Linked DNA regions of Ovis aries. The protein of the gene in region 1 purifies or fractionates together with the protein of each later gene. This does not show direct contact. Links are inferred from orthologs where the notes say so. Each region holds a gene or a part of one and is shown on either strand. Other genes may lie near its edges.

Region 1 (3,924 bases):
AGGTGTGTGATGGACGACGACAATGAGGTCAGGGACCGGGCCACCTTCTACCTCAACGTCCTGGAGCAGAAGCAGAAGGCCCTCAACGCAGGCTATATCCTGAATGGTGAGTCCTCCTCGCCCGACCACTCCCCTCGCCCCCGTCCCGGGCGGCGGCCTTCCCGGGCGGCGTGCCCTCCGCTGGCCTCCCGCGGCAACTGCAGGGCGTCACTGTCATCTCAGGAGGCGCCGGACCCCAAGGGCGGGAGCAGCCCAGAGAGCTGAGCCGCTCGCCAGTCCTACGAACCTGCCGAGCACTCCCCGCTGTGTCCAAGCCCCTGTCCCGTGTCCATTCGCTCCTCGCAACAGTGCTGCAGAGGAGGGTGTCCTGCGAAGTCGGGGCTCGGCAGTCTCGCTGGTTTCCTCAGGGTCCTACAGCCTTGACCCCCGGCCCCCGGCTCGCTCTGGCCTCTAGGTCTGACCGTGTCCATCCCGGGTCTGGAGAGGGCACTGCAGCAGTACACGCTGGAGCCGTCGGAGAAGCCCTTCGACCTCAAGTCCGTGCCCCTGGCCACTGCGCCCATGGCAGAGCAGAGGACAGGTCAGGCGCACCTGTGTCCTTCAGAGGCCCTTGGGCCCAGGCCTCCTCTGGAGGGTCTGCCTGGCCTGCGAGGCCACCGCAGCTGCCCAGGGTAGAAGGGGCTGTGCTGGGCGGGGGGAGTCCCCCTGCCTGCCTCTGGCCCTGGAGAGGAAGCCCCCTGCACACAGTCACGCGCACCGTCTCCCGTGCTCCGTGCTTCACAGTGGGAGGTGGGGATCACACTTCCCGAGTAATGGCGCTGTGGTCCATGTGCCCTGGCCATCTCTGAGCTATGCATGCTTGTTCCCGCAGAAAGCACCCCGGTCACCGCCGCCAAGCAGCCCGAGAAGGTGGCTGCCACCCGGCAGGAGATCTTCCAGGGTGAGTGAGGGGGCTCGCAGGCCGCGGCGACTCTTCCCGCAGGAGCTGAGATCGGGGCTCCCCTGCGTGCTGGCTCTGAGTGTGTTCAGACAGCGTGCTCGACCCTTAGTGGAGGTTGGTGCACCCATTTGGGATCTGAGGATTTGGGTGTTCAGAGAGACAGGGTGATTTGCCCCAGTTTGCACAGCACCAGGGGGAGGGCAGAAACAAAGTCCAGCTCCAGCTGGCTTAGAGCCGCTTTGGCCTTGTTCTGAGTGCTGCAGGCCCTGGGCCCAGTCGGTTCGGGACGTCTGGCGCTCCTCAGCGGAGCTGAGGGCACGCCACAGTCCTGTGTCTCGGGCTCCAAATGTGCTCCGGCCACCTTGTCTGGCAGGGTTTGGTGAGGATTCCGTCTGTCCGTCTGCTCCCGCATTTCTCAGGGGAGAGGCTGTGTGTCTAGTTGGCAGACCACGTTGTCCATCAGCTTCCTGCCTTCGAGTCCCAGCAGCAGCCTCCCGTCCAGGTGGCCCCAGCCCGCCGCCCCGACTCGCCTCCTCTGCTGCCCTGCTGCGTGCTCTCGCAGCTTCTGACCTGTTTTCTGTCCGTAACTGCACTGGTGCCGGCCTCCTCCTAGCAGGCTCCCGATGACTGTGGGATTCATTTCAAGTCCGCCTTGTCCTTTCCACTCCCGAACCTGTCTTCCACCAACACGCCATCTCTCAGGTGTGGCTGAACCAGGACCCTGAGCTGGCTGGCGTCGCTCTCCCTGCAGGCTTTCCCTGTGTGTCCTTCCCTCTTGCTGCCGGCAGAGATCAGCACGAACTTGGTGGTTTCACTCAAGGCTGCTCCACCCCATGTCCTGAGGCCTGAGTTCAGCCTCGTTACGGGCGGAAAGAGCAGGATAATGATGATACTGCCTGCCTTCTCCCTCTGTCCCTGAAGTCCTACTAAGTCTAGGGCAGAGGATCATACCGCCTCAGGTAGAGTTCTTTTCCACGTGGAGGTCAGTGTAGCCGGGAAGGTGAGTGACGGATCTTGACTCATGGTCCTCAGGCATCCGTGTGCGTCAGAGTCACGAGGGGAAGCTTGTTCGAGATGCAGGAGGGGGCCTCTGACGGGCGTGTCTGGGGAGGCCTGAGGATCTGCACTGTGGCCATGCCCGCAGCCCCGGGTGTTTCTGGAGCAGTGACTCCTGAGCACAGCGGGGAGAGCAGGGCCAGCTGGGAGCGCCTCGTTCTCCCAGGCGCACCCGGGCCGGAAGCTGGCCTGCACCGGGTGCCCGCCGGCCGCTCTGAGCCGGGCGTTCTGTGACTGAATCTGCCCCCTCTCCTTTGGGGCCGCTTGTCCCGACAGCCACGTGTCTGAGAGCAGTCTGTCCTTCTGCCTGGCTCCGTGGCCAGCAGCGTTCGCTTCCTCTTTGTCTTTCCCTGTCTCCCTCTTCTGAGCACCCTTGCTGAGTTTCTAAGCTTGAGGGGGTCTCTGGATGGATGAGGCCGGGCCGTGGGCCTGACGTCCATCGGTTGGTCTGGCGTCCCATGTGGGACAGCGGGGAGTGCTCGGGTGTCTCGGGGAACCGAGAGAGAGAGGCCTGAGGACTGATCAGAGACCCCGCTGAGCTGCTGGGTGAATGCGCGGCCTATGGGTTTCAGAGCAGCTGGCGGCCGTGCCCGAGTTCCAGGGGCTGGGGCCCCTCTTCAAGTCCGCGCCTGAGCCCGTGGCCCTCACCGAGTCGGAGACGGAGTACGTCGTCCGCTGCACAAAGCACACCTTCGTGGACCACATGGTCTTCCAGGTGAGCGGGGGCCCTCCGGGGGGACCCCCATGCCGAGTGGCTGGAGCCGGGCTCGATGCCGGCTCCAGCTGCTACGTGTCGAGTCCCTGACTCAGGGCCTGTGCGGCTCCCGCGTGTCCACTTGGAGACAGGGGGTCTGGGCAGGGGGCCTGGGTCGAGAGTCAGGGTGGCCCTGGGGTAGGAGGCAGGGCTCCCGACGCCTCCTCTGCAACTCGGGGGGCCCCCCACCCCCCGGCTCAGCGTCTCGGCCCCTCTGCTCCCTGGTCCAGTTTGACTGCACGAACACCCTCAACGATCAGACCCTGGAGAACGTCACGGTGCAGATGGAGCCCACGGAGGCCTACGAGGTGCTGTGTTACGTGCCCGCCCGGAGCCTGCCCTACAACCAGCCCGGGACCTGCTACACGCTGGTGGCCCTGCCCAAGGAGGACCCCACGGCGGGTGAGCTCCCCCGGCCTCCCAGGCGCCCGTGGGTCGGGGTAGGGAGGGCGGCCTGTGCACCAGCTGTTCGTCTCTGGTCAGAGCTTCAGCTCCTCGAGGTCTGTCCAGAGCAGAAGGCCGGCCCGACCTGGGGCTTTGCACACAGCAGCTCGTTTCCTCCTCACACACCCTTGCGGGCAGCACTGCTCTCTCTCTCTGAGAGGGCCACCGAGATGGGGTAAACAGCTTGCCTGAGTTCACCAGGCTGCGAGGCCGAGCCCCGGCCCTCAGGCAGGACTCTGTCTCGGCCGTGAAAGAGCCAGAGAGAGGCACAGACGTGACCGTCTGAGTCCACTCCTCCCAGAGAGGCAGGGGCTTTTCCGGGCCTGGGGTGGTGGGCCTGGGCGGCATGTGGACGTGGCCAGCCTGAAGCGTCTGAGTCCACTCCTCCCAGAGAGGCAGGGGCTTTTCCGGGCCTGGGGTGGTGGGCCTGGGCGGCATGTGGACGTGGCCAGCCTGAAGCGTCTGAGTCCTCTCCTCCCAGAGAGGCAGGGGCTTTTCCGGGCCTGGGGCGGTGGGCCTGGGCGGCATGTGGACGTGGCCAGCCTGAAGCGTCTCTGCCACCCTTGCTTCTCTTTCCTCGTGAGGGCAGCTCCTCAGGCTCCTGCCTCCCCACGCCACTGCCCTTGGTCCAGACCCGCGGGCAGGCTGGCCTGGGCCGCTGGCGCGGTCGAGGCCTGGAGGACAGGCTGTGGCCGCCTGCCCGCAGAGGCCCCCAACGGCGTGCCTTCCC
Region 2 (3,924 bases), on another chromosome or scaffold:
CACATAATTTTTTTTTTTTTAAATAATCCATACCTAAGGAGAAACTACCTATAAATATTCATTCCATTGGGTGGCAGGTACTAGAATCACAACACAATGCTTAAGAAAAAGCAAACAGCATTTACAGGAACAGCTTTGCATTTCAAAACCTACTGAATTATGGCAACCACTGCAGAGAGATCAGAATTTTGTTGTTTTACCTTCACATTTCTTACTAATAGTGACCCACTCCAAGGAAACATAGAAACCACTTCCTTTCATAGCCAATTCCTCTTTCTCTATTCGAAGGAGGAGAGTAGCTATTGCATGTTCTTCAGCTTTCAGCAATGAGATACTGTGAATTATGATAAAAGGACTCCCAAGCTCTTCATTAAATACAATCTACAAAAAAGAAAAAAAGATGGCATTCACAAAAACGTATTACATGAATGCATAGAGCACAGAGGAAATACACAGAATTCTGACAATCCAACAAGTAATTTGGATACTGTTTACTGCAAGGACACAAGAACAGAAAAGCCCTGAAATAAAGCTTATAAGTTTAAAATACAGCTTAAAGAAATAACTTTTAGAAAACATCTATTTGTTTAACAGAGAAAACTGATCAGTAAGCACAGAAAACAAAAGGGCCTCCAAATGGCATCTACAAGAGAAAGGGAATTAAAAGCAATCCTCTAGAAAAGAATTGCCAAGTGAAAAAGAGTGCTCCGTACAGAGGAAATGAGGTCAATATTCCCTTACTGCATCTCTTCCCCTGTCTCATATCTAATTTATTGAGATATATTAATATATTGTATAATATTATATCCATCCATTTATAATAGTCATTTATATTATATGTTAATATATTAATCATATCTCTAATTTATTTCTGCCTTCTTCTTAGTTTCTGAATACTGTTTGTATATATGTGCGTATATCTTTCTTTCCTATTGTTTTTGTTTGCTTTGTGTTGTTTGTTTTCTGGAAACTTACAAAGGTACAGTGTCAGACTTTATTTTTTTGGGCTCCAAAATCACTGCAGATGGTGACTGCAGCCATGAAATTAAAAGACGCTTACTCCTTGGAAGAAAAGTTATGACCAACCTAGATAGCATATTCAAGAGCAGAGATATTACTTTGCCAACAAAGGTCCGTCTAGTCAAGGCTATGGTTTTTCCAGTGGTCATGTATGGATGTGAGAGTTGGACTATGAAGAAGGCTGAGCGCCAAAGAATTAATGCTTTTGAACTGTGGTGTTGGAGAAGACTGTTGAGAGTCCCATGGACTGCAAGGAGATCCAACCAGTCCATTCTGAAGGAGATCAGCCCTGGCTGTTCTTTGGAGGGAATGATGCTAAAGCTGAAACTCCAGTACTTTGGCCACCTCATGCGAAGAGTTGACTCATTGGAAATGACTCTGATGCTGGGAGGGATTGGGGGCAAGAGGAGAAGGGGACGACAGAGGATGAGATGGCTGGATGGCATCACCGAATCGATTGATGTGAGTCTGAGTCAACTCTGGGAGTTGGTGATAGACAGGGAGGCCTGGCGTGCTGCGATTCATGGGGTCGCAAAGGGTCGGACATGACTGAGCAACTAAACTGAACTGAAGAGTCAAAGGAACTGGAGAACAAATCATGAAAACTTTCTTACTGTTCTAAAACAAAAGATCTCATGTCATCTAAAAAGATAATTCCACTAACTGTTAAATATTGAAATTTCTTCTAAGGAAAAAAAAAAAAGCAAATCAAAGCATCATGGAAAGATGTACAAAATCTTATCAAATTCTTCTTAAAACACATAATCTAAAAGACTACTGTATCTTTGTTAAATATCGATCAGGAAAGGTTTTAAGACTGATTTCGAAACAAGTTTTTCAAATAAGTGAAAAAATAAATAGATAAATAGTTTGAATACAAATCTAACTGAAACACAAGAATTAGCTCTTTTTTTCTTTTTAAACCTGTATCTGGAATCACCTGGGCTGCTACCTGAAAGCCTTATTAAAAAAAAGGTTGCATTACCCTAATGCTCACAGCAGGAGTACTTAAAATAGCCAAGACATGGAAGTAATCTAAATGTCTATCAACAGATGAATGGATAAGGATGTGGTATACATACAATGGAATACTATTCAGCCATAAAAAGAATAAATAATGCCATCTGCAGCAACACGGATGGACCCAAAGGTTATCCAACTTAAGTGAAATAAGTCAGACAGAGAAAGACGAATATCACACAATATCACTTATCTAAAACATGATACAAATTAACTGATTTACAAAACAGGAAAACACTCAGAAAACAAACTTATAGTTACCAAAGGGGAAGAGGGATAAATTAGGAATTTGGGATTATCATATACAAACTACCATATATAAAATAGGTAAACAAAAAGTTCCCACTGTATAACATAGGGACCTATATTCAATACTTTGAAATAAACTACAATGGAAAAGAATATACATACATACATACATACATATATATATGTATATATATATACACATATATCACTCAATCACTTTGCTCAATCACTTTGCTGTACACCAAATCTAACAAAACACTGCAAATTGTAACTAGAGTTCAATAAAAAGAAAAATGTGCTTAAATGTCATTAGTTTCCCTTTGTGTTTGAGCAACTCTACCAAAATTATTCAAACAGTAGACCTTTGGAATCCATTCTAAATTCTTCCATAGGTAAGGGGAGAGCCCTCCCTCAAATACCCAAAATAGAGAAGATAGACACATTTTTGGTTAAGTGGGTTTTGCTTCTGTTTGGGGGACAAGAATAAATAAAAGGGTAGGAAGAAAAAATGGTAAGTTTTGCCAAGTCCAAGTAGCCAGATTCCTGTTTCCTCCCCCTCTTTCTCGCTCATGTAAGGCCAGAGGAGACCATGTCAGGACTTTTAGAAACTCTTAGGTTGACGTTTCCAGTCCCCTGAACAAGCCTAGCAAATCAATTGTGAAGCTGTTGATACACAGCACTCCCATCATGTTAGAGGCCACACATGCCCTGCCTTCTTTCACTTCTCCTTCTACATTTCAGACATCACCACCACGCTTGCTGGGCCCCCTTATGCCCTACCATGCCCCCATCACTTCCACCTTTAGCCTTCTCTCTTACACCAATTCCCCCAAAGTCCTAAAACTCATATATTTCTCTCAAAGTGACCACTATCCCACAGTATCCCTTCCACTTCAGTTAACCCCCTGGTCCCATAATTTCCCCACTGTCCCCACCTCCCCAGAGAGGACTGACTTCATTATGGCAGTATATATACTGAAGAACATATGAAGTAAATTCAATTTTTAATTTATTTTAAAAATCTTATTGAAGGACTTATATGGACTAAGGAGATATACATAGCAGAAACCAAATGAATTATAAACCCATATGAATTTTCTTCTGATGGACTACGTGGTATTATTCTTAATCCGAAGGTGAAGAGGGTCAGTGTGTTTCTTACACCAACAGAATCCCCATAGCTTGATAACAGATACATTCTCATTCATATCGCTCCTGTCCATCATTCTCCAAATTCTTTTCAACTGTTTCAGATAGCTGGGTGCTATATACCATATATCCTCAGTCAAAAAAGAAAAGAAAAAATTATTGGAGGCAGAAACAGAATATGTCACAATGTCCAATGAATATTTAAAACTGTGACTGACTGCAAAGGCCTCCTATAAACAGGCTGTTGTTCTGGTATTTCATCGTGTTTTGTGTTTAACTTTTTGAACACACTGCAATTAGGTAGTGCAGGATCTGGTATAACAATAAGAAAGGTAAACCACTAAGGTCTTGTTGTTTCTCTCAAATAATTAAAGCCCAGTGTTTACAGGCACCTGTTGGTCTGATAAAAATGTTTTATAAGATGTAAAATATTAAATTCTATCTCTTTAGCTACCTAGAACTAAAGGCCACCTGCTGAAATTTAGA
Region 3 (3,274 bases), on another chromosome or scaffold:
CATCAACAGAGGAACGGATAAAAAATATGTGATACATATATACAATGGAACATGAGCCATAAAAAGGAACAGAACTGTGCCACTTTCAGAGACATGGATGGACCCAGAGACTGTCATATATAGTGATGCCAGAAAAATAAATATCATATAACGTCACTTATATGTGGAGTCTAGAAAAATTTTTACAGATGAACTTATTTGCAAAGCAGAAATAGACATACAGATGTAAAGAACAAACATATGGATACCAAGGGGGAAGAGGGGAGTGGGAGTATGGAGAGATTAGAATATATATATATAGACTACTATGTATAAATAGACAACTAACGAGTACCTACTGTATAGCACAAGAAACTATTCAATGCTCTGTGGTGACTTACATGGGAAGGAAATCTTAAGAAAAAGGGGATATATGTACACATACAGCTGATTCACTTTGTTGTACAGCAGAAACTAACACAACATTGTAAATCAATTATACGCCAATAAAATTAATTAAAAGATAAAATGAACATGGATCTGTTTTCTCAAGGTATTTGATACTTTCTTCTAGGACCTAAATTTCAAAGAAAAGCCCTTTAGAACATGATGAGGCATTTTTGGATACAATGATGTCAGAATGTTAAATCAGTAACCATTAATCAAGTAAATCAAAGTCTATCTCATTGCATATCACATATATTCACAACTCAAACAGCAATTTAAATTTATAATAGAGATCTATAATGCAACTAAAAGAAATTCATCGTTACCTAAAATTATGTAATTACACATTTATTCATAAAACAACAAAAGACTTAGGAATAGATCTGTTTATTGTACTGTGAAAATGGTCTTGATACATGTGAGAAACATTATATACTTTGAGGACAGCATTCAAAACTGTTAAGACAAAAGACAAACTATAATTTTAAAATCAATCTTGATTTAAGGGAAAGGCTATAAATTATTGGCTGGAATGCATTCAGCATGAACTCAGATTCTATATAACACAAAGCACAAAAAGAGTACAAAAGATGTTGGAGTCCAGTAAGCCCATACCTAAATTTTAACTGTAAAGCTGCAAAGACTTTTGTTTATTCTTATATACTATTTTTCTTCTGAGACAAGTTGATTTTATCTCCAAGACTTAAGGCCATTCCCTGTAAGAAAGAATGAAGATGTTTATACATAATTATTAAAACTATATGTAATCAGTAGGTTATTCCATCTTACCAAGCCCCCATTCAAAGATACCACATCAACACTGACACTAAGACGTACAAAACAGACTCAACAAAACTTTACTTGGTTAAGTACTTGTAGCGCTAGATTTATAGAGTCACTAGATTTCAAAAAACTACAGAATACATTCAGAAACACTCCATAGGAATTAATCTGATTGCAAATAAACCAGAATGACAGACCCAAAAGGTGGGCCATTTATTAAAGGAAGGAGTTATATTTCAAGAGTGAAAAGTGAAAGCGAAAGCTGCTCAGTCATGTCTGACTCTTTGTGACTCCATGGACTATATGGTCCATGGAATTCTCCCAGCCAGAATATGGGAGTGGGTAGCCTTTCCCTTCTCATCTTCCCAATCCAGGGATCAAATCCAGGTCTCCTGCACTGCAGGCAGCTTCTTTACCAGCTGAGTCACCAGGGAAGCCCAAGAATACTGAAGTGGGTAGCCTATCCCTTCTCTAGCAGATCTTCTCAACCCAGGAATCGAACCAGGGTTTCCTGCATTGCAGGTGGATTCTTTACCAAGTATGATTATCATAAATATGTGTGTGTGCTTAGTTGCTCAGTTGTGTCCAACTCTTTGTGACCCCATGGATTGTGGCCCACCAGGCTCATCTGTCCATGGGGATTCTCCAGGCAAGAATACTGGAGTGGGCTGCCATGCCCTCCTGTAGGGGATCTTCCTGACTCAGGGATCGAACCTAGGTCTCCTGTATTGCAGGCGGATTCTTTACTGTCTGAGCCAGAGTGACGTTGCATTAGATGCATATATATTATATATAATTATTAGAAATATTAAAATAGTATATATTATAGATATAAAATAATATATTGTTATAAATATAAAATTAATATCATAAATATAAAATATTTATTATATTTATTTATCTGTTACCTGACTCTTTGCACGGATTCTTATGTGGCCAGTAACAGGGGCCTCTGGTCCCTGCTGTATTGGCTTCTCAATGCTAACATTTGCAAGTGCATCTTCTCCAAATATGGAACGAGCATAGAGGTTGGCTGCCATAAAGCCACAGTAACCAGAAAGTGCCTGAAAGAAATTTGTGAGAAACTCAATACTAGAGAACTACACTTAAGCAAGACTAAACAGCACAGGTAAATTATCACCACTTAAAGCAACTTATTCACCATTTACTCATACATGACTGTATGAACTTGTTGATACTCACAGAACTATACACATAAAATGTGTGAGCTTTACTGTGTCTGTATCTCGATAAACCTGATCAAAGAAATAGCACTTATCCTAATTTGCATTTCTATATTCTTTGTTTAGAGTTGTGTGACTGCCTCCTACACCAGACCTTAAGCTCTATAAAGAACGAGACTATTTTTATTGTCTTCATTATTGTATATCCAGCAGCTCACAGAGTATCGGCATATAATATTTATCAGACTCAATATCTGTTGAATAGACTAACATGAATTAAAGCCTACTTGATTTGGTCTGGCAGTATTCTTTCACTGATTAAATCAGCACCGCAACATTAGCAGACATTTTATAAAGAAAACTTCCTTACATTCTCAGTTTCAGTTTTTGGTCTTTCTCTCTAGTCTTTTTTTTTACATACATATACAAACAGAGCAGAAAATCAGAGTATATTAACAATTCCATACTTGATCAGATATATTCTGACCCAAAATCAGAATCAAAAGAAGAGGTCATGGACATTTGATAATCTAGTACACTTTGGAATAAGTCTTTAGTTGAAAGGGAGAAGACTGAAAAGAAAAGTCAATCTGACTATTTAGTTGGGACACTGCTCTAGGGACAAGCAGATACTGTTCTTATTTCAGTAGAAAGCAGTAAGCAGATTCACACATTCTACAGGATAGTTTTTTTCTAACTAGCCCAGAATGACACTGCTTTTCTCAGGCTAAGTAAAAACACAATATACTACAGGAAATACAAGAAAGCCAAGAATCTATCATTACTCTGTATCAAATTTAAGAAGTACCCAGGCAAATCTTACCTTCTCTGGAGTGAGGCATTTCATGTTGGTTGACTTTAATATGTGCTGTAAATAGTCG
Region 4 (3,924 bases), on another chromosome or scaffold:
GCTTGTTTTGTTAGCTGAAGGGCAGTATCTAATGGTATATTCGAAATGTACATAGAATTCTTAAAAATAAGTATGTTCCACCTATGTGGCTTCTTTCTAAGAAACCTTTATAACGGTTGTTTTTGGTACATTTTATTTACTTATTTTCGAAAATTTCATTTATTGATGGTTTGGGTGAGTCTTTGTTGCTGCATAGGCTGCTCTCTAGCTGTGGTGTCCAGGTTTCTCATTGCAGTGGCTTCTTTTGTTTCAGAGTACATGCTCTAGGTCCATGGGCTTCAGTGGTTGAAGCTTCCAGGCTCTAGGAAATAGGCTCAATAGTTTTGGTGCACAGGCTCAATAGTTGTAGCTCACAGGCTTAGTTGCTTCGTGGCATGTGGGATCTTCCCGAATCAGGGATTGGTCACCTGCATTGGCAGGTGGATTCTTTACCATTGAGCCACAGGAAGTCCTGTCTTATTTTATTTTTAAAAATTTTTGGTTGTGCTGTGTGAAGTATGGGATCTTAGTTCCCTGACCAGGTATCAAACCCACCTACTCTTCATTAGAAGTGGGGAGTCTTAACCACTGGACCACCAAGGAAGATTGTTATATTTTATTTAGATAGTTGATCTTACATCTCTTGTCACAAGAACCAGGCCTTTTCAGAGAAGAAGATGATTTTGTCTACTTTTTTCCCTGCCTCATAGTTCAGTTCAGTTCAGCTCAGTCATGTTCAATTCTTTGGGACTCCATGGACTGCAGCATGCCAGGCTTCCCTGTTCATCACCAACTCCCTGAACTTGCCCAAACTCATGTCCATAAAGTCAATGATGCCATCCAACCATCTCACCCTCTGTCATCCCCTTCTCCTCCTGCCTTCAGTCTTTCCCAGCATCAGGGTCTTTTCAAATGAATCACTTCTTCGCATCAGGTGGCCAAAGTATTGGAGTTTCAGCATCAGTCCTTCCAATGAATATTCAGGACTAATTTCCTTTAGGAATGACTGGTTGGATCTTCTTGCAGTTCAAGGGACTCTCAAGAGTCTTTTCCAACACCACAGTTGAAAAGCATAACCAACACACAATTGTCTTTTGGAAGTAGTGCTTATATTATTTGACAGTAGCATTGCTGGCTCGTAAAGTGTATATAGTCATCAATGCAAAAGTTTCTTCTTTTTCCTTTTTTCCCCTAATATGACTTCTTTAAAAAAGATTGGTCCATCTTATTTGGCCTGAGTTTGAACAACTTTAGCTCTCTACACAAAATTGCAAGTAAACTTTGCACAGAGCTTTTCCCTCTCCTTCGTTAGTGTAAGATGAGGACTACTGTGTGACAAAGATGGCGGATCAAACTTTGACCCTTCTCTTCTATTTGGCCAGCTTGGCCTCACCTTGAGGCTGCTCCCCCTAAAGTATTTTTGTAAAGGACTTGGCTGATGGTCTTTTAACTTTTTTAGTTACAAAATTACTAACTTGTTACTTACAAACAAAATGGTTTAGAGTAAAAATTACATTATTGCTATTTTTAAAATGTCTTAAACCTTTAAAAGTCTTTCAGGGACCTCCCTGGTGGTTCAGTAGTTAAGATTCCACCTTCCAATGCAGGGTTTGTGGGTTCAATCCCTGGTGGGGGAACTAAGATCCCATATGATGTGGGGTTGCTAAGCCTGCTCACCACAATGAAGACCCAGTGCAATCAACATTTTTTAAAACACAGTCTTTGAAGAAGGGAAATCTTTCTTCAAAATAAAAAATAATTGAAATTTTTTTACGCACCCTATTTTAGATGTTTAGATTATGGGCCATGTAAGACCAAAAGGAATTTATTTCCTGTCTTGTCATGTCTGAACCTCAGAAATTTTCTTTCCTTTCTCATTTCAGACACATCCAAATGTGGATAAAAAACTTTTCACTGCAGAATCTCTAATTGGTTTGAAGAATCCAGAGAAGTCATTTCCAGTCAACAGTGATGTAGGGGTGCTAAAGTGGAGACTACAGACCACAGAGGAATCTTTTATTCCACTGACAAGTAGGTGCCTCTGGCCAGTCCTACTAAGCTAGTCTGCACTGAAAATTAGAAATAGCCCTGACTTGTGCACTCTTATCCTTATTGCCATAATTCTTTTTGGCAAAGTGACCTTTTAAAATGGACTGTATTTTAATGATTAGATTTAATTTTTAATATCTTTAATTTTGAAACCATTGTTTCTAGTAGTTTACATTAGAATGTTTTAAGGCTTGCTGGTATCGGTTTTGATTTGCAGTCTTAACTTTGCTTCATTCTTTTCCTAATGTTCTAGTATACTTGCTTTGCTTTTGTCTTCAGTTAATTGCTGGCCCTCAGAAAGTGGAAATGGTTGTGATGTCAACATAGAATATGAGCTACAAGAAGATAATTTAGAACTGAATGATGTGATTATCACCATTCCACTCCCGTAAGTTCCCCATATAATCACTTTTTCTATAGTGAGCTTATAGAACTAGTCTTTTAGAACTCAGTTTTGGAGGCAACACTTAGCTGACTGTCCATGCTAAGATATATAAGATACAAAGGCCAGTTGTGAAAGAAGCCTGGTGCAAAAGACTGCATACTAACTGTATGATTCCATGTATAAGACATTCTGAAAAGGTAATACCCTTGGGACAGAAATCAGGCATTTGACTGCAGAGGAGCACAAGGAAGCTTTGGAGATGATGGAGATATTCTGTGACTTGATTGTAATGTGCTTACATTACAGTGTAATGTCAAAATGTATCCAACTGTATACTTTTGAAGGAGTGCATATTACTGACTTTAAAGCCAAACATACAAAGCTGGTTGTAGTTCTAAAGCTGTGTTTTCAGATGTTGGTCTTCAGTTTGTTCCTGTAGTAATGAAGGTTTCCAGAAGGAGGAGCCAGTTCTCTGTTCTGTTTTGCAACTCTTAAATAAGAAATTGAGTCTGTCAGACTGAATTCTTTTTTCACGGTCTTTGCTAAGTTACCAGCTAAAGATGAGAGTGATTTCAGGGTGCTATTCTTGGTGAAACAAGATATTTGCATTAGTTTCAGGAAATTTTCTGACAACTTCATTGAGGTATGGTTGACATGCAATAAACTACGTATGTTTAAATTGTACAATTGGATAAGTTTTGACCTATATGCACCTGTGAAACCTGATCACAATTAAAATAACAAAAATCCATCACCCCCAGAAGTTTAGTTCCAGTAAGTTTTGATGTATGCTTAAATGGCATACTTTCTAGGATCACCTAGAAAACTTTTATCTCCTCACTAGCATTTCTAGTGACTGAACTACTATTATTTCACCATTGAATCCCTGCTCCTCTCCTTTGCCTCTCAGCATCCCCATGATTAAATACAGGGCTTAATAATGAATACCTAGTAAGTATATTCTTAGTGTGTTTTTACTATTAAATTGCTCAGTTATTATTACAGAGAAAACAGTTTTAATTTAATATGCAGGTTTATTCAAATTAATTTTAAATTAATTTGAATTAAAATTAAATTAATTTATAGTTTGATTCAGGTCCTGACATGGCCAGGTCTGGTTTTAGTCACTCTTATTTCCATTTTTTAAAACATGATTTATTACCAGTGTCCCCTTTAATGGGCTAATCATCTTAATTCTTCACAGCTTGGTTGTTACTTCAGAACAATAGATGTCTGCCTTGAACCATCCTGAGACTTGGGCGTTGGTGACAGGTGTGGGTTTTATTTTGTCAAGATTTATTTTGCTAGACTATTTTTAGGATGCCACAAGTTTTAGGCCTCTCCATCTACCCTATAATTGTGGTTATGGTGGTTTCCTGTGTCTTAGTTCAATTTTGCAACAGTCTCCAGAAGAGACCCTTGGACAGCACTTTACCCTTTTGTCTAGAACTGATCAAATTAGAGCTCAGAACCAGAATGGGAACAAGGGGAAAGGGAAGAAACATATATAC
Region 5 (3,924 bases), on another chromosome or scaffold:
ATGACTACTACATGGGAGGCCCTGTGGGGAGTATAAAAATATGTAAACAAACTTTACTAGAGCCAAAGGACAATTTTGTCCTCAAGCTATATCTAATTTAGTGAAGAAACTTCTAAACTAATTTCAAAGTTTTCAACATTATGTCAAAAACAAGGATAATTGAGTAAAAGAAAAAAAATAATAAAGTAAATCAAAGCCCTAAGATAGTCAACATGTACCATTTAATAGTAAGTTGTCAGACAAACAGAAGATAACATTTTATATAAGTCAAAGGAAAACTAATAAAAATGTTATATAGATGTAAGCCTATTCATGTAACCAAAGTTAAATCTATGCATATAGATATATTTTAAGTACTACAGTGGGAAAAGGAATATATTTTCACTCATTGCAACATGTATTAAGCATCTAATATAGACAGGGCACTGTGCTGCTTGCTAATGTGTGTCTGCTTGTGGGAGGAGGGTAACATACGGTTCCTGCCCCAAACATCAACATGTCGGGAATAAAGATTTTCCATTATTATTCAACAGGAAGGCCATAATAGAGACCCCCAAAAATGGAAGGAATGGGATGAGAATGGCTCTGTCTAGGGGTGAAACGGATGGCTGAAGAGAGCTTCTCAGAGTAAATAACTGCTAAGCCTTGAAAGATGAGTAATTCTCCAGAGGAAAAGAAATCAATAAGGGAGAATAAAGGATACTGTAGGCATTGGGCCCAGCTGAATGAGGTAAGGTTCTGTGAACATTCACGGCTTCTCGAGAAAATGGTGAGGAGACCAGGTTTACAGGAGATGTCTCGTAACATTAGCTAAGGTTGGTCTTGCAAACCCTTATATTCCATACCAAGGCATCTGGACTTTACCCTTAGATTGGGAACTGACAAGATGGAACCCACGTTTTAGAAAGATAACTGGCAGTGGTATGGAGAAATGGAGTAAGAAAAACAGAATGGAGGTAAATGAAATAGATTAATAATCTGCAGAAGGCAACAGCAAATACACTAACAAAGAGGAAAACAGTGACCTAGAGAAGACACAGGCATTTTCTTATTCTGGGTTTGCAGAGGTTTAAAACTCTTACTATATATTGCTTCCACATGGAGAAACACCCCTCCATTAAGAGCACTGAGTTGCCACACCATTTTTCTAAACAGAATATGCCCTTCTGAATCAAAATAAGAAGTCCTATATTGCTTCAAAATGAGCTTTTTTTTTTTTTTTTCAAAATGAGCTTTTGAGAGAAACTTCTCAGATAGGAAGCCAGCAGTAAAATACCTAACACAATTATATCTCACCAACAAGCATAACTGACACAAACAGTGGGCACCTTACCTTGATTGTCCTGTCCAAAGAAGCACTGGCAAACTGGTTGTTATCTTTAGGGTTGATCACAATCTGCATTACATAATGGGTGTGTCCTTCAAACACTTGTGAGCAAGACCATTTTTTATCCCAGTCCCAGAGTTTAATAAGCATGTCATCTAGATCAAAAGAAAGTCTCCACTTAGTTGCAATATCTATTTCTTTCATTCAGAACTAAGGTGCAGAATCTCTGTGCCTTTTTAAGGAAGAAAATCTAACACAAATCATATATTCCATGACTTACAGACACAGAATCAGAATTGAACAGATTTTTCAAAATGCTCATTCTAAGAATAATTTTAACTTTCTGAAGAATGGAGATAAAAGACATTACTAATAGCAAATATACAAATTTCATGGAAGAAATTTAAAACAGACTCGATGGGTTTTACAGAATGATAAAAGAATAACACAAGTTTAATTAGAGTCTAAGTATGACTGAATAATGATGACAATGACTATTTCAGAAACAAGCATTTCTCTTTTAATCAGTTCAGTTGCTTAGTCATGTCTGACTCTTTTCCACCCCATGGACTGCAGCACGCCAGGCTTCAATTGGTTAAAAAAAGTTCTGAATTACTTCTCAATTTCTAACTTAAAAATGTTTCAAAGAGCTATTACCAATTCAGTGCAACCTGTTTTAACTGCCTTCCAAAAAGCTCCACTGCTTTACACATAATACCAAGGTGCAAACTAGTCTGAATATAAAGATAAAACTGACTAGAGTATATGGCAATCTGCCAAAAATTCACTCACTCAACACATAAATTAGCTTTCTGTTCAGCAGATGTTCCAGCATCTAGACCTTCAGGTATTCCCTGACAGGAATTGGAGCAACTGCTACACAAATCCTAAGTAGAGCTGATAGTCATTAAAATACAAAAGCAAGCAGCACTGATAGAACGTTAATGGATTTAAATAGTTTAAAGGCTGCTTGGAATCAGAACTCTACTTGTAACAGCAGTAAATGAATTGCACGTCTCACTAAATAAAAATGAATTACTCAAAGAGACCTACATGACCAAAAGGGGTCATCTCTTACCACTGCTGGTTAGAATGAAAGGCTGGGTTGGATGAACAGCAATACAGCGAATGTAGTCTGAATGTGCCTCAAACATATGAACTCTCTCCAGAGTGTTGTAATTGAATACTCTAATCTGCATGTCATCCTAGAAATGAAAATTTAAAAACCATCATTACTCTTATGAAGTAAATTGCACAAAAAAATATACTACAGGCTCAAGGTATAAAGTCCAGGGTTCAAAACACTGCACTCATTAACAAAAGAAAGCAAGAATCAAAATTCTGCAACTCATTTAGGTAATCACTGACCAATTCATAAATGGGATTAGAAATTCACATGCTTACTTACCGCTCCTGTTACAACCCAATTCTTCCTTGCAACAAACTTAGCAGCTCGGACAGGAAGATCACATACTTCAAATGTTTTCACCAGTGTCTTAAAAATGTAACAAGAACATACCACTTTGAGTTATGAAAAAACAACTGAAAAATCTATTCTGTTATATTTAAAACATCCAATTATTTAGATCACTTCTAATCTTAAAAATATTCTCTAGCTAAAATATAAAAGCAGTTGAATGGGAAACATTGACCAATCATCTTTTCTTTAACAGATTCAAACCTAAAATACTTATAAAAGAAAAAAGGAAAGCAAATATCCACAAGATGAAGTTCCCCATCCTCTGTGCTCCAGTCCTTCCCTACTTCTCTAGCCCCATCCTCAGCTACTCTCAGCCTTACCTTTGCTCCCATTCCCTCCACCTGAAAACCCACCCAAAGAACCTTATACTCCACTTTCACAACATAGCACTTTCGTAATTATATGCTTACTGTCAGTCTTTCCTGCTAAGCCCCCAAGGGTGGGAATCTTATTCACCACTGTATACCTAGAGCCTAAGAACAGTGGATGAAAAACCACCCACATGTAATAAGTATTTATTGAATGAATTAGCTCTTAGTTTTCTTCTTTTAAAAATTAAACCCATAAACTCATAAAATAAACTTATAAACAATATACAATTCTTTTGTATACTTCAGCAAGATACTTCCATACAGAAACTGTTTCTTTTTAGTGATGAACTAAGTGATTCCTAATTCTTCACAGTGATTAAGATGTCCTTTAAAGCTGCTCAGAATAGTTATATACACAGGATAGAAAGCTGCTCAGAAAAGAATTATACACACAGGATAAAGGTGGAAAACTAGAAGACCGTGCCAGAAAGAACAGCAATGAATACATTTCGTTGTCCTCCCACTTTGATACCTTGTTCTTTAAAATTCTGAAAGTCAAACTATCCCTTTAAAAAAATTATTTCATTCTTTTTATATGTAATTTATTTTTTGGCTGTTCTGGGTCTTCACTGCTGCACAGGTTTTTCTCTAGTTGTGGAGAGTGGGGGCTCTTCTCTAGTTGTTGTGCATGGGCTCTCATTGTAGTGGCCTTTCTTAAAGCAGAGCAAAGGCTCAAAGGTGCACATGCTTCAGCAGTTGTGGCATGTGGGCTCAGTTGTTGCGGCTTCTAGGCTCTGGAGCACAGA

Evidence for each region.
Region 2: the proteins of COPG1 (region 1) and NUDCD1 purify together in Homo sapiens (affinity purification with mass spectrometry; 3 studies listed by BioGRID and IntAct, counting the BioPlex papers as one, with this or other methods). This does not show direct contact. The link is inferred for Ovis aries from reciprocal best matches to the Homo sapiens genes COPG1 and NUDCD1.
Region 3: the proteins of COPG1 (region 1) and COPB1 fractionate together in Homo sapiens (co-fractionation; 11 studies listed by BioGRID and IntAct, counting the BioPlex papers as one, with this or other methods). This does not show direct contact. The link is inferred for Ovis aries from reciprocal best matches to the Homo sapiens genes COPG1 and COPB1.
Region 4: the proteins of COPG1 (region 1) and ARCN1 purify together in Homo sapiens (affinity purification with mass spectrometry; 6 studies listed by BioGRID and IntAct, counting the BioPlex papers as one, with this or other methods). This does not show direct contact. The link is inferred for Ovis aries from reciprocal best matches to the Homo sapiens genes COPG1 and ARCN1.
Region 5: the proteins of COPG1 (region 1) and COPB2 purify together in Homo sapiens (co-immunoprecipitation; 8 studies listed by BioGRID and IntAct, counting the BioPlex papers as one, with this or other methods). This does not show direct contact. The link is inferred for Ovis aries from reciprocal best matches to the Homo sapiens genes COPG1 and COPB2.

What each region holds. Positions count from the first base shown.
Region 1 is NC_056072.1:59,028,590-59,032,513, forward strand, and holds part of COPG1 (coatomer subunit gamma-1), read left to right. Parts: intron 1-2; coding exon 3-106; intron 107-454; coding exon 455-580; intron 581-871; coding exon 872-940; intron 941-2,568; coding exon 2,569-2,711; intron 2,712-2,980; coding exon 2,981-3,152; intron 3,153-3,924. UniProt on the Homo sapiens protein: The coatomer is a cytosolic protein complex that binds to dilysine motifs and reversibly associates with Golgi non-clathrin-coated vesicles, which further mediate biosynthetic protein transport from the ER, via the Golgi up to the trans Golgi network.
Region 2 is NC_056062.1:68,043,106-68,047,029, reverse strand, and holds part of NUDCD1 (nudC domain-containing protein 1), read right to left. Parts: intron 382-3,924; coding exon 201-381; intron 1-200.
Region 3 is NC_056068.1:38,014,534-38,017,807, reverse strand, and holds the end of COPB1 (coatomer subunit beta), read right to left. Parts: coding exon 3,217-3,274; intron 2,274-3,216; coding exon 2,118-2,273; intron 1,143-2,117; coding exon 1,083-1,142; 3' UTR 798-1,082; downstream 1-797. UniProt on the Homo sapiens protein: The coatomer is a cytosolic protein complex that binds to dilysine motifs and reversibly associates with Golgi non-clathrin-coated vesicles, which further mediate biosynthetic protein transport from the ER, via the Golgi up to the trans Golgi network.
Region 4 is NC_056068.1:28,983,925-28,987,848, forward strand, and holds part of ARCN1 (coatomer subunit delta), read left to right. Parts: intron 1-1,862; coding exon 1,863-2,010; intron 2,011-2,307; coding exon 2,308-2,416; intron 2,417-3,924. UniProt on the Homo sapiens protein: Component of the coatomer, a cytosolic protein complex that binds to dilysine motifs and reversibly associates with Golgi non-clathrin-coated vesicles, which further mediate biosynthetic protein transport from the ER, via the Golgi up to the trans Golgi network.
Region 5 is NC_056054.1:250,327,392-250,331,315, reverse strand, and holds part of COPB2 (coatomer subunit beta'), read right to left. Parts: intron 2,823-3,924; coding exon 2,736-2,822; intron 2,533-2,735; coding exon 2,406-2,532; intron 1,483-2,405; coding exon 1,334-1,482; intron 874-1,333; exon of another isoform or gene 704-873; intron 1-703. UniProt on the Homo sapiens protein: The coatomer is a cytosolic protein complex that binds to dilysine motifs and reversibly associates with Golgi non-clathrin-coated vesicles, which further mediate biosynthetic protein transport from the ER, via the Golgi up to the trans Golgi network.